Arabidopsis thaliana: one gene and its partner. The protein of the gene in region 1 binds, or shares a complex with, the protein of each later gene. Each region holds a gene or a part of one and is shown on either strand. Other genes may lie near its edges. The genes, in order: AT2G20360 and AT5G11770. A codon is read from its position in the direction of its gene.

Evidence for each region.
Region 2: the proteins of AT2G20360 (region 1) and AT5G11770 are in contact, whole or in part, in a cryo-EM structure (PDB 8BEE), measured with the Arabidopsis thaliana proteins. Residues at the interface, in NP_565469.1 of Arabidopsis thaliana: Arg100 (codon at 3,112), Gly101 (codon at 3,109), Ser102 (codon at 3,106), Glu103 (codon at 3,103), Asp104 (codon at 3,100), Arg107 (codon at 3,091), Lys110 (codon at 3,082), Leu111 (codon at 3,079), Lys122 (codon at 2,926), Thr151 (codon at 2,726), Arg152 (codon at 2,723), Asn153 (codon at 2,720), Phe154 (codon at 2,717), Pro330 (codon at 1,422), Phe331 (codon at 1,419), Pro332 (codon at 1,416); in NP_196738.1 of Arabidopsis thaliana: Arg140 (codon at 2,508), Glu148 (codon at 3,657), Arg150 (codon at 3,663), Trp151 (codon at 3,666), Asp176 (codon at 3,741), Arg177 (codon at 3,744), Ile178 (codon at 3,747), Val179 (codon at 3,750), Pro180 (codon at 3,753), Val181 (codon at 3,756), Asp182 (codon at 3,759), Lys205 (codon at 3,828), Arg208 (codon at 3,837), Arg209 (codon at 3,840), His214 (codon at 3,855), Trp215 (codon at 3,858), Trp216 (codon at 3,861), Asn217 (codon at 3,864), Lys218 (codon at 3,867).

The regions. Positions count from the first base shown.
Region 1 is NC_003071.7:8,784,029-8,790,210, reverse strand, and holds AT2G20360 (NAD(P)-binding Rossmann-fold superfamily protein), read right to left. Parts: upstream 4,252-6,182; 5' UTR 4,142-4,251; coding exon 4,039-4,141; intron 3,910-4,038; coding exon 3,813-3,909; intron 3,327-3,812; coding exon 3,262-3,326; intron 3,145-3,261; coding exon 3,059-3,144; intron 2,939-3,058; coding exon 2,854-2,938; intron 2,741-2,853; coding exon 2,670-2,740; intron 2,459-2,669; coding exon 2,327-2,458; intron 2,048-2,326; coding exon 1,932-2,047; intron 1,838-1,931; coding exon 1,714-1,837; intron 1,638-1,713; coding exon 1,569-1,637; intron 1,462-1,568; coding exon 1,341-1,461; intron 1,253-1,340; coding exon 1,113-1,252; 3' UTR 641-1,112; downstream 1-640. Other genes in the region: AT2G20362 (uncharacterized protein), read right to left, coding at 56-439; AT2G20350 (Integrase-type DNA-binding superfamily protein), read right to left, coding at 4,815-5,005, 5,157-5,442. UniProt on the Arabidopsis thaliana protein: Accessory subunit of the mitochondrial membrane respiratory chain NADH dehydrogenase (Complex I), that is believed not to be involved in catalysis. Complex I functions in the transfer of electrons from NADH to the respiratory chain.
Region 2 is NC_003076.8:3,790,101-3,795,019, reverse strand, and holds AT5G11770 (NADH-ubiquinone oxidoreductase 20 kDa subunit), read left to right. Parts: upstream 1-1,993; 5' UTR 1,994-2,090; coding exon 2,091-2,512; intron 2,513-3,637; coding exon 3,638-3,872; 3' UTR 3,873-4,312; downstream 4,313-4,919. Other genes in the region: AT5G11780 (SNF2 domain protein), read right to left, coding at 130-188, 330-1,092; AT5G11760 (stress response protein), read right to left, coding at 4,721-4,919. UniProt on the Arabidopsis thaliana protein: Core subunit of the mitochondrial membrane respiratory chain NADH dehydrogenase (Complex I) that is believed to belong to the minimal assembly required for catalysis. Complex I functions in the transfer of electrons from NADH to the respiratory chain.

The DNA of each region.
Region 1 (6,182 bases):
ATTATAGGCGAGATCGTTCTTACTTCTTAGCATGATCATCGGTTGATGGGGAGATCTATACGGAACCACTTTCCTTCCGGAACCAAGAGGAGAGGAAGAGAATGAATACTAGAAACATGTTAAAAAGACAGACCAAACATAACCCAACCTTAATCAAGGTCATCTCCTTCTGTCTAGATATGGTATCGTCGCGGGTCATTTTAACGTCATCTATATGGAGATGAACACCAGGATCTCTTAGCTTAACCTTGCTACCGATCAAAGCTGAACCACATGTTGCTTGAACATTGCTGTTCACGTAGATATTGATCCTGCAACCACTTTGACTCGCTATGTCTACATCCCTAGGCGCCACCATCACCGCACCAACATTTCTCCCGTTTAAGTTTATTCCACCACTGCCAGATTCGGGTTCGGGATAGTCTCCGTCATCTTCCATTTTGGTACAGACTGCAAAAATGAGTCTATCCTGTCTCTCCAGAGATGATATTTGCTCTATATGCTTTGCTTGGTTCTTGGGGTTCCCTAAAGTTCTTTACTTTTTCTATAGCCAGAAGCAAAGTGAATTATTCTACGATTTGCATAAACTAGATTCCTTACCCACCCCTAAATTAAGGATACCGAAGGCCTCAAGATGGGTTAATGGACATCAATGTTTCATTACTGGGAGATAACGGAGTCGAAATACCTTCTTGACCATGTAAAGGAAACTTCAAATTACTCAGGGTTTAACCTCTATTGCATACAGATGCATGTTGATACGTTTTGTCGTAAGTAAAACATACAACACCGAGCTATATGTAATGCAAAGATGAAAGCATATGGCTTTAGTTTTACTCAAGGGAAGTAGTACATGGAGTTCGAAACGAACCAGACATTGCATAAATCCTAAGGGACCAACCACATCAAGAAATATATTGTCCCCTCTCTAACTTATAATGATGTTGATGTGTTATAATTTTTTCAAGAACACAACAAAGAGGAGGACCCGTTTATTATTGACAGAAGTAAATGAAAGTCATCAACATAGCAAATCTGGTTTCCGCAATCTCATTGTGACACTTGCATGAAAAAATTAGTCCAGGAAATGACCTTTGAGCAGAGAAGCAGCATCAAGGGTAGAAGTCTGTTGGTATCTTTTCACTGACAGTAGAACCGAAGTTAGGACCACCCTTGCGATATTGGATAAGAAACTCGACCGGATATCCCTTCAATTTATGGGGGACAAGGTCCAGATCCTGAAACTTCAAGGCTGAAATAGCCATTGTTGTACAATAAAAAGTGAGACTCAATTAACTCAAGGAAAATAACTCATTTCACTTCTATGAATAATGACTAACCGTTGTCAGATACAAGTGTATCGGTTGTAAGTGCATTGATTTGATCCAGGTTGAAGATCTGAGGAGAGGGTAAGGGGAACGGGACTTTGTTCACCATGAAGTCTCGAGGAGCCGCCATTGCCTGGAACAGATTGTGACATATGTGAAATTAGTATTACAGTATTTCAAGAGGAAAACAAAAATTCTTTGGAGTTTCTTCCATGGACAGTGCACGATTCGATCTTTTACCTTGGCAATTGGAAACGGAAGCTTCACATACCGAGGCCATTCACGAATCATATCATACATGATCTCTGCCTGCAAGACATACTTGGAAATCAAACCCACTGAGCTAGGATAGTGACACAGAGAATGAAGGATTAAAAGAATTTACCAACTCGTGAGTGGTAAAGACATCTGGACCACCCAATTCGTATGTTTTCCCCATGCTGGAGCCATCATCCTTTAGAGCAGCAACAATCGCAGCAGCAACATCAACCACATAAACAGGCTGGAATCTGCAGTAGAGTTATCGTTAGGGACGGAACTAAATCTACATTTCAAGTTGCTATGAACCAGTGAAAAGAATTGCACAAAGAATTCAAGACGTACTTGGTGGTTCCACCACCTATGAGCGGGAGGAAACCATATTTTTTAACGAACATTGACCAGGGGTTCAAGATTCTGTCTTCTGTACCAATCATGGTTGCAGGTCTCATGATGGTTGCCTACAAAACACATATATATCATGAACTGACTAGAAGCAGCATGCTGATGACAAAAAGTTTATATTAACCATCCCAGGTTCACTTTTGCTTTCAAAATTTATAAGGTTTTAGAATTTAATAATAACATCATATACGGTTTTCCCAGTTCTGCACAAAAAAATCTAAAGGATCTTTCTTTTCTCTGAAAAAGAAGCAGGACCATGAATATTGAATAAAATATTACGATGATAATAATTACAACAGAGAGAGTTATGTGTACCGAAAGCCGGGTAAGTATACCTCAGGCAGTGCGTTCAAGACAGCTTCCTCAGCAGCAGCTTTTGCCCTCAGCATTCTTGAAGGAGATGACACAGAAGCTCCTAGGCAAGAAACTTGAATATATCTCATTATCCCACCGTGTTCCTTGGCCACCTGAAACAACATATCCACAAAGTCCAATCTAATCAGAAATAACCAAAAGAGCAAACCATAGCAGATCGTATCATCCCAAAGGTTAAAAATGTGTAGCTCATTGCAGATGTAGGCAACATTCTGAGGGGTAAAAAAATGGAAACCTGTTCACCGGATTTTTTGGAAACAATTCAAAAGATGATTCGCATTTTGTCAGGATTCAAACACATACCAATGCAAGTTTCTCAGCAATATGATGATTCGCATCTTCAAAACTGAAATTTCTTGTCTCGTACTCTCTTCCTGAGGAGTAGAATAAATATCATCCAAAATGGAAAGAACAGTGCTACTTTTTTAATGGTTTTAAGTTTAACTATACTTGCTAGAAAAAATTAAGATAGACAACAAAATATCACCAATTAGATTGATAACGACATTAGCCTTGGCCATGACAGCCTTAATCGAGTCTTCATCTCTTGGATCAAATTTCATTGGTACCACCTGGAATATACAGGCAACAAACACACATCAAATTTGCCGATCCAATGCATAGTTTTTTGTAAAGATGTTTTTTTGTTGCATACCCTCGAAAGCATTATGTTAAATAAAAGAATACATTACCTGTCCTAAATCTCCCATCAACTTGAGATGTCGAGGAGAGTCCTCTGAGCCTCGGAAAGGAACAAGCACTTGTGATCCCATTTTAGCTAGTAGAAAAGATTCACTCGAGTTTAGCAAGTAACAAAATAAAATCAACAAATGTACAAAATAAAAAACAAGATTGATTTACCCAACTGGTAATACCAATGATAAACCCAACTCACCTAGCTGCTGCACAAGATAACGACCCAGAAATCCTGTGGCTCCAAATACTGTAGCTACAATGCCACTGCCAAAGCAAAGGAGAAATTAAGATTTTCATATACTTCTTTTCCTCTTAACAGAAAACTCTCGAAAAAACTACAAATTAGCTGTGCTAAAGCTACCAAAAACCCCTTAAAGATGATACATTTCTCCGCAAAGGCAAGTAATTTACAATATCTATCCTCTAAGCTCGAAACTTAACAAAAGATATACAGAATAAGCATGCTTTAACATAACACGGCAAGAACATTTCTCATTCCCATGACAAACGGAACAGAAAGCTCTCGAGAAAAGTTCACTAAACTGAAGCTACTGCAAACCCATTAGAGACGATACATTTCTCCATGAAGGAAAGTAATTCATGAAAGCTATCTCTTAAGCTCAAAACTAAACAAAGCTATAGACTAAGCCTACTTAAATCCTAACAGAGACCAATATCGTTTCTCCTTCCTATATGAATTCTCAAACATTTTCTAAAGGAAACAAACCCTAAAAAAGAGCAATGGCATACCTTACGGAAGATCTCCCACCAGTACCCTTGCGAGCGAGGTGTCCCACGCCCTTAGTAGCGAGGGAAGACGAATAGCGACAATTATCAGTCCCATTCACTAATTAAAATCAGAGGAAACACACAAAATCATTAAAAACACAAATCTCTCATTAGCCCGAGACTCATAACATAAGTAACCTAGAAATCCCAATTGATATAAGAAAAAAATCAATGGCAGAAACTTAACGGTGATTAGAGACTCCGTAGAGCGATCTGAGAGAAGAAGATGAATAGATCGAAGCTCCTCCGACGAGAGGCCGTTGAACTAATCTCCTGGAAACTACTTGCATCCTTCGTTCTCAGTTACACGATCGAGACAACAAATACAGATGTGAGAGAGAGAAAGAGGAAGAAGAGGAGAGAAATGGAATACAAGAATTTGCTGCCTCGAGGATACAAGCAAATGGGCCTGGGCCTTGACAATATCTCATTGGCGACGATAAGTAACACCTTTAAAATGAAACCACGTCACTTTGTGTTGGTCCGTATTACGTAAGCCCATTTATTAGTGAAACGGCACCGTATGACAAATATTACTATTGGATTACCTTTCTTGTTAATCAAAGTTTAAAGTTATCATAAATATCATAACAACTTGATTGATTTTTATATATGCTTACAATTGTGTTTGCTTGTATATTATCTCATGATATATATAATACGTCTAACTATAAAATATAGACTTTTCTTGTCATTGGTCACAATAAACCCAAACCAAATAGATTATAAAAAAAAAAAAAAACACACACACACACACAATTGAAAGACAAAAAATGAAGTAAGATACATAAAAACACACTCACAGTCACGACTGAACTTGATAAGTCTTGCGTTAGCAATATTTTGTTTTACTTTATTTTATTACCAAACAAAATAACGTTTTTACTTTTCAAAAAAATTCTGATTTACTTGTGAAGCAAGTAAGATGCCTCTTCCTGCCTTTCTATACGTGCTCCTTCTCCGTTAATTTTTCTCAGTCGTCTTCTTGGTAGATGCTTCCTCTCCGTTCTTTGTGCCACGTCTTGCTGATCTTCTTCCGACAAACTCAGCCGCCGCATCGTTGTAAGCCTTAGCCGCCATCTCCGCTGTTGGAAACGTTCCAAGCCATCTCCTTACTTTCAAACTCGGATCCCATATCTCCGCCGCCCATTTACCTGATGGTTTATGAAAGTACATCAACTGCATGCTAACGTATTGGAACATAGTTTACCTCATGGGCTCGTGGCTTATATATATATGAAAATACATGAACTAAAACTAGCTAGTACTAGAAAAACTCAAAGCTTGTATTAGAATAGAACTTACCTGATGGTTTTTTCCTCACTCCTTTGTGCTTCTTCTCCTTCTTAATTATCGCCTCGTGTCGTGGGAAGACGCAACCGTAGCAGCCGGTGACACTACAAAGAGGACAAGGGCCAGCGTTCAAAGGTGGAAGATCAGCTTCCCATGCATTCGAGTTCGTGTCACCTCCGACGTTGGATATTACTTGTTGCAAAGCAGAGACCATGATCACATGTTCTTGATCTCTCGTCAAATTAGGAGTGAAATTGATGTTTTGATCGTAAGAGGGAACATTTTCTGAATTTTCCATTTCCGCGGAGTCGTTGAACTGAAAATAATTCGTTGCTCACGGTCACTGAGAAGTGTTGAAAGTGTTGTGAAGATTTCAAAAGAAACTACTGACGAGTAAGCAAAAAAAGGTTTATATGGTACTAGACTACTAGACATATGGTCCCATGCAAATCTTTAGATACGCGGCACCAATTAGTGTTGTTTTTTTCCTTTGAGAACGATACATCTGTTCAGTAGATATTTATTTTCTGCAAAAGCGATTGCTATATTTATTCGATACACTACTTACTAATTATTATTAGTCTTGACACCGAGTAAACCAAATATACTTCTTAGTCAAGATATTTTCAACTACCTTATTTAAGTCAAAATACAGTTGGATCCTATTATATAATGGTTTATTTTGTAATCTGGACTGCAAATATACACATTTTTTTAGTGTTTAAAAGTTGAGTTTCATTCGTAACAATTGGATAGGTGTAATTTCATTGTTTTAAAAATCATTTTATATTTTGCAATACTTTTTCATAGGTTAATACGATGGTTGTATACTTGTATGTATCAGTCCTTGGATTAATTTTGCCCAATGACATTCTATCTATAATACTTTGTTCTATCCTTTTTGCTCTTTTTTTTTTCTATCTTATATATCTAATCTACTCTTTTGATTTAGCATTACATTGTGCAACGCTATACAAAATGGAACCATATGTTTTCGAGCTTTTTGAAATATTTTTGGGGGTTATTTCTGTTCTGTTA
Region 2 (4,919 bases), on another chromosome or scaffold:
AACCACAGACTTTATTGGACTTCCGACTGAATACACATATAGAAAGCACAGGCCACTAGTTTCAAACTTTCAAGTCACCCAGAGAGAAAAGACTAAATAGATTATACATAGTTTAGTCAAAGAACCAACCACTCCCATTAATGAAGTTAGATGCAGATATGGCTCCAGCAGCATCTTGAGAATGACATCTGTCACAAGAACAAGAACACATGATTGAAAACAAAACCAATTGAGACATCTGGAAGCTTATGAAAAAGGAGTCACTAGTCACATAATGCTTCTCTATTTCCCACAGAATGCAAAGTAGCTAAAGAAAAAGTAACACTCACCAAAAAAGAAGCAACTGTGGAACCCAGATATCATCTGAAGCACAGATTCCTGCAGATCTTTATCTAGCTCGGATCTACCTAAGTCCAAATCAAACCTCGAGCACAAACTGAGCAAGAAAACCTGAGAAGCTACGATTCCAGCTAAGTAACCAACGCCACAGGACTCAGAATCGATCTCTTTACGCAAAATTTCACTAGCAAATGGCATGAACACCTCCAAACAATCCTCAACTCTACAATTATCTTCCACTTCATCCACAACCCAAACTCGACTCAAATCAGCAAAACTAAACCCAGAGACCATCAACACATCATCATCTTCATTTCCAGGTTCATCGACACAGTACATGCTAATATAGCTCACAATCCCTTCTAACAAGCTCAAAGCATCTCTCCTCCTAGAAATAACTAAACGACTCAACTGGTAAACAACGGGAGATAACAGCGATACCTTCTTAACACCGGAAAACGAATCGGAAAACGAAACTATCAGCTGGAAGAAACACGAAGTTAACCTAACGGAATCATCCCGGAAAGCTAACTTGGAAGAGTAGAATCTGATGGCGGAGTAGAACCAGACGAGCTCGAGAGGTGGTGGTTCGGGAAGATCGTTAAGAATACGAGTGAAAATGGAGTCGAAATCGGAGAAATTGGTTCGTCCGCCTCGGTACTGTAACAAGAGCTGCTTGATCGAGTCATTGAGAAGCGGTTTCAGAAATTCGAGGTGACTCTGAGGTCTGGGTTTACAAATCGGAGGTTGCATTTTGGGAATTTTCCGGTGACAGAGAAGGGATTTTGAATTTTGGGAAGTTGGAAGGAAACAGAGAAACCCTATTGAAATTCAAAGAAAAGGGAACGAATAAAGAGAGGGAATCCCAATGTTAAACATAAAAAAAAAATGTGTACATTACATTTTCAAATTGAGTTCACTCCAAAAACGTACAAGACTACTAGTATATTTGTTTTATTTTCATTATGGCAAATACGATAAATGATTTATAAGTGTGGATTAACGAAAATTGCTAGTTACTAAATGATTTATGAAGTAAGGATAAATGCAAATTTCGAAAATTGGCTAATCAGCTAATTTGCCTAAAAGAAATAAAGAGAAAATGCTATGACTTGATCCATTTTTAGCCTTTCTACTTCTTTTCTTTTTGGTCATATGAAACTTTATCAATACAACTTATGTAGAATCATCTTAAAATACAACTTCTAATCAAGAGAAACTTAAACCGACAGACAAAATAAAGTTTTCGTAATTACGAAAAAGTGATTTCTCCAGAATCTAAACCCTATGAACAAAAGACTTAAAACGTCGTAAATACGAACATGAATTTTTAAAACAAATAGAAAGATTTTTCCTAATTATACTGTTATACATCATGTGATTTCTCCAATTCATATCAAAATACAATTGGCTCTACACATTCCATATAAATTTTCTATCTATTTTTTTTTCTTCCTTTTCTTGATATCACGAGTCATACAACCACAATCAAAAACTTAATACTTTTAAAGATTTGATAAATTTTCTGTCTAAATAGTTTTTGTAATGAGAAAGTTACAAGAGTAAATTATTATTGCCAAGTCATTGTTTTATGAAATAAATGAAATACTGTACAAAAGGTGAAAAAAAATGATACGATTACGAGTCATATAAATACTTCGCCACCTGCGTTTAGTAAATGGTTAGAGACTCGTTTGGTTATCACAACTCCACGACGAGAGGAAAAAAAAAACTCAGAGAGACAAATCTAAATGGCGATGATTACGCGCAACACCGCCACGCGCCTCCCTCTCCTCCTCCAATCTCAACGCGCCGTCGCCGCTGCCTCGGTCTCTCACCTCCACACATCCCTTCCCGCTCTCTCTCCCTCCACATCACCGACTTCCTACACCAGACCTGGTCCTCCTTCGACCTCCCCTCCTCCTCCTGGTCTCTCTAAAGCGGCCGAATTTGTGATCTCCAAGGTCGATGATCTCATGAACTGGGCTCGTACCGGATCGATCTGGCCTATGACCTTTGGTCTCGCTTGCTGCGCCGTCGAAATGATGCATACCGGTGCTGCTCGCTACGATCTCGATCGATTCGGTATCATCTTCAGGCCTAGTCCTCGCCAGTCTGATTGTATGATTGTCGCCGGTACTCTTACCAATAAGATGGCTCCGGCTCTTCGCAAGTACGCTTATCTTTCTCTATCTCCCTTATTCATGGAATTAACGGCTGATTTATATCTTTGGATCTCGGATATAGTTTTGTCGTGGGAAGATTTCTTCTAATTTCACTTTGTGCGTTTTCTGCTTTAGAGGCCTCTGAATTAGGTTTTCGGAGGATATAATTTGGGGGTTTCTATTGGAATTTATTCTTTTCCGGCGATTTTAGGGTTCATGTATTCTGATTGTATTGCTAGGTCTGTGACAAATTGAGAATTGCTGTATGGATATAAGAATGACTTGGGAAGCTATACAGTTCGTATTCATTGTCTAGCGCAGATTTAACTAGTGTTTCGTCAAGTTTTTTGTTCGAATTTCATGAAATTGGGAGCGTTTTAATTAAGGGATGAACAAATATGGTGGAGTTATATCTCTTTTTATGTGAGCTCTGTGCCCGTCTTTTGAGGGGAGTTAGGAATTTCAGATTTTCTAGCTTGGTGTTCATTAGGGAAACATGTGTTAGTGTCTTACTAGTAAGAGGTTGGAGGTTCATTGTTATGATGTTTTCATTATCTTGTTTTGTAGTTCCGTCTGTTGACTGATTAGAATCTTGCGTGATGATTTTGCTTAGTTAGAATCTGAGACTTGATGCACATATTTTCTGCTTGGTGTGTGTTTTATAGGAAATTGATATCCGGCACACTTAAGAGATTCCTCTTTTTTTTGTTTGATGTATGAAGTCTTCATTCAAGTGTAGAACTTATGTTCTTTAGATGAGAATCCTGTTGTTAAGAAACGTATGCCAATGGCTGCTGTGCTTATATTAATGATAACTTTAGGCCCAGACACTTAGAAAATATCCCAAGTCAATCTTAATAGCTAGAGGTTGTGTAAACATCAACCAATAAGACGAGCACATTTTAGATGCATTCGGGAGATGATTAACTGCTTTCTAAGTTGGTTTAGATTAGTTCTTATACTGAATTTAACTATTAGTCAGAAACTAGTATATAGAGATATGTGCAGAAATCAGTCTTGATCTGGTAAGATTGAGAGAAGTTGTATATGCGGATCAACTCAAATGATTTATGGTTCTGTTCTTCTTTATCCTGTGTGAAATTCCAACTTCTAATGTTTGAATACAATCACAGGGTTTATGACCAGATGCCTGAGCCAAGGTGGGTGATTTCAATGGGAAGTTGTGCCAATGGAGGTGGATACTATCACTACTCCTACTCGGTGGTTCGAGGATGTGACAGAATTGTCCCAGTCGACATATACGTCCCGGGGTGCCCACCAACCGCTGAGGCTTTGCTCTATGGACTACTCCAGCTTCAGAAGAAAATCAACAGGCGCAAGGATTTCTTGCATTGGTGGAACAAGTGAGCTTCGAACCCGTCCTCCAATCGTGAAAGGGACTTTTTTCAGACATTTTTACCAAAGTTTGGGGATAATAAATCGTGGACGTTTCATTGCATATTTCTTTGTGGTGGAGATGCCATGTAAAGGAGTGTGTTTCTAAGTTTGTTGTGGAAACTTAATAAACTTAAGATGTTTGTTGTCTGAGTTCTTTTATGGGCTCTTTTATTATATATCTCTCTCTACCAGTTTTCAGCTACATGCTGACTATTGCTAAATACCTACATATATTTATACATACGAGTGTGTTTTGTAGAGCTTATACAGTACAATACAAAAGCTTAGTACGGACAAACGAGTGTCTGACATGCATAATGTTTGGTCGTTGTGTACTCTTGATGCTTTCAGGTGAATACACTTTTCAGTCTCATCTATTGTTACTCTTAACCTTACATATTGTGAAAAAGTAATTTTGATCATACTTATACTTTTGATGTTTTTACTAAAGATAGAATTTTTTTCCATCGATTAATTGCAGACTACTACACAAATGGTTTAGAGTTTAGACCATAAGTCATACATAATGGCTTTGACAGGGAAGAACAAATTAAGATGGTATACATTATAGTTGCTGGAAAACAAAATTCCATGTATAAGAAATCTTAATCCTTCGAGTAAATAAAGACAGATATTTCCTCAGACTAGAGCAGAACTAGGTAGAGAGTAAAATGTAATTTTTTTTCTCATCAAACATGAACAAGAACGAAAAATATGGTTTTAAGTTATAAGATCATACATCCATTAATAGCAGAACGAGTTAAATCTCCTTTGGCACCATAAAACAAAAGGTTCAAAACGAAATGGTTTAAGAAGATTTAGAAGCAACAATAACAGTCAAAGGGACAAAAACGAGTACCACCAGCATCTTTCCTGTTGAAACCAATTTCATTTTCCGTGAACACTCGTAACCCGTCTTCAGTTGTCTTCCTGGGTCGGCTATCTTCCGTATCGTTATTAAAAATACTCGAGCTGGGTCGGCTTTCCCTGTTGTTACGGAGAGTTCTCGTCCTGAGT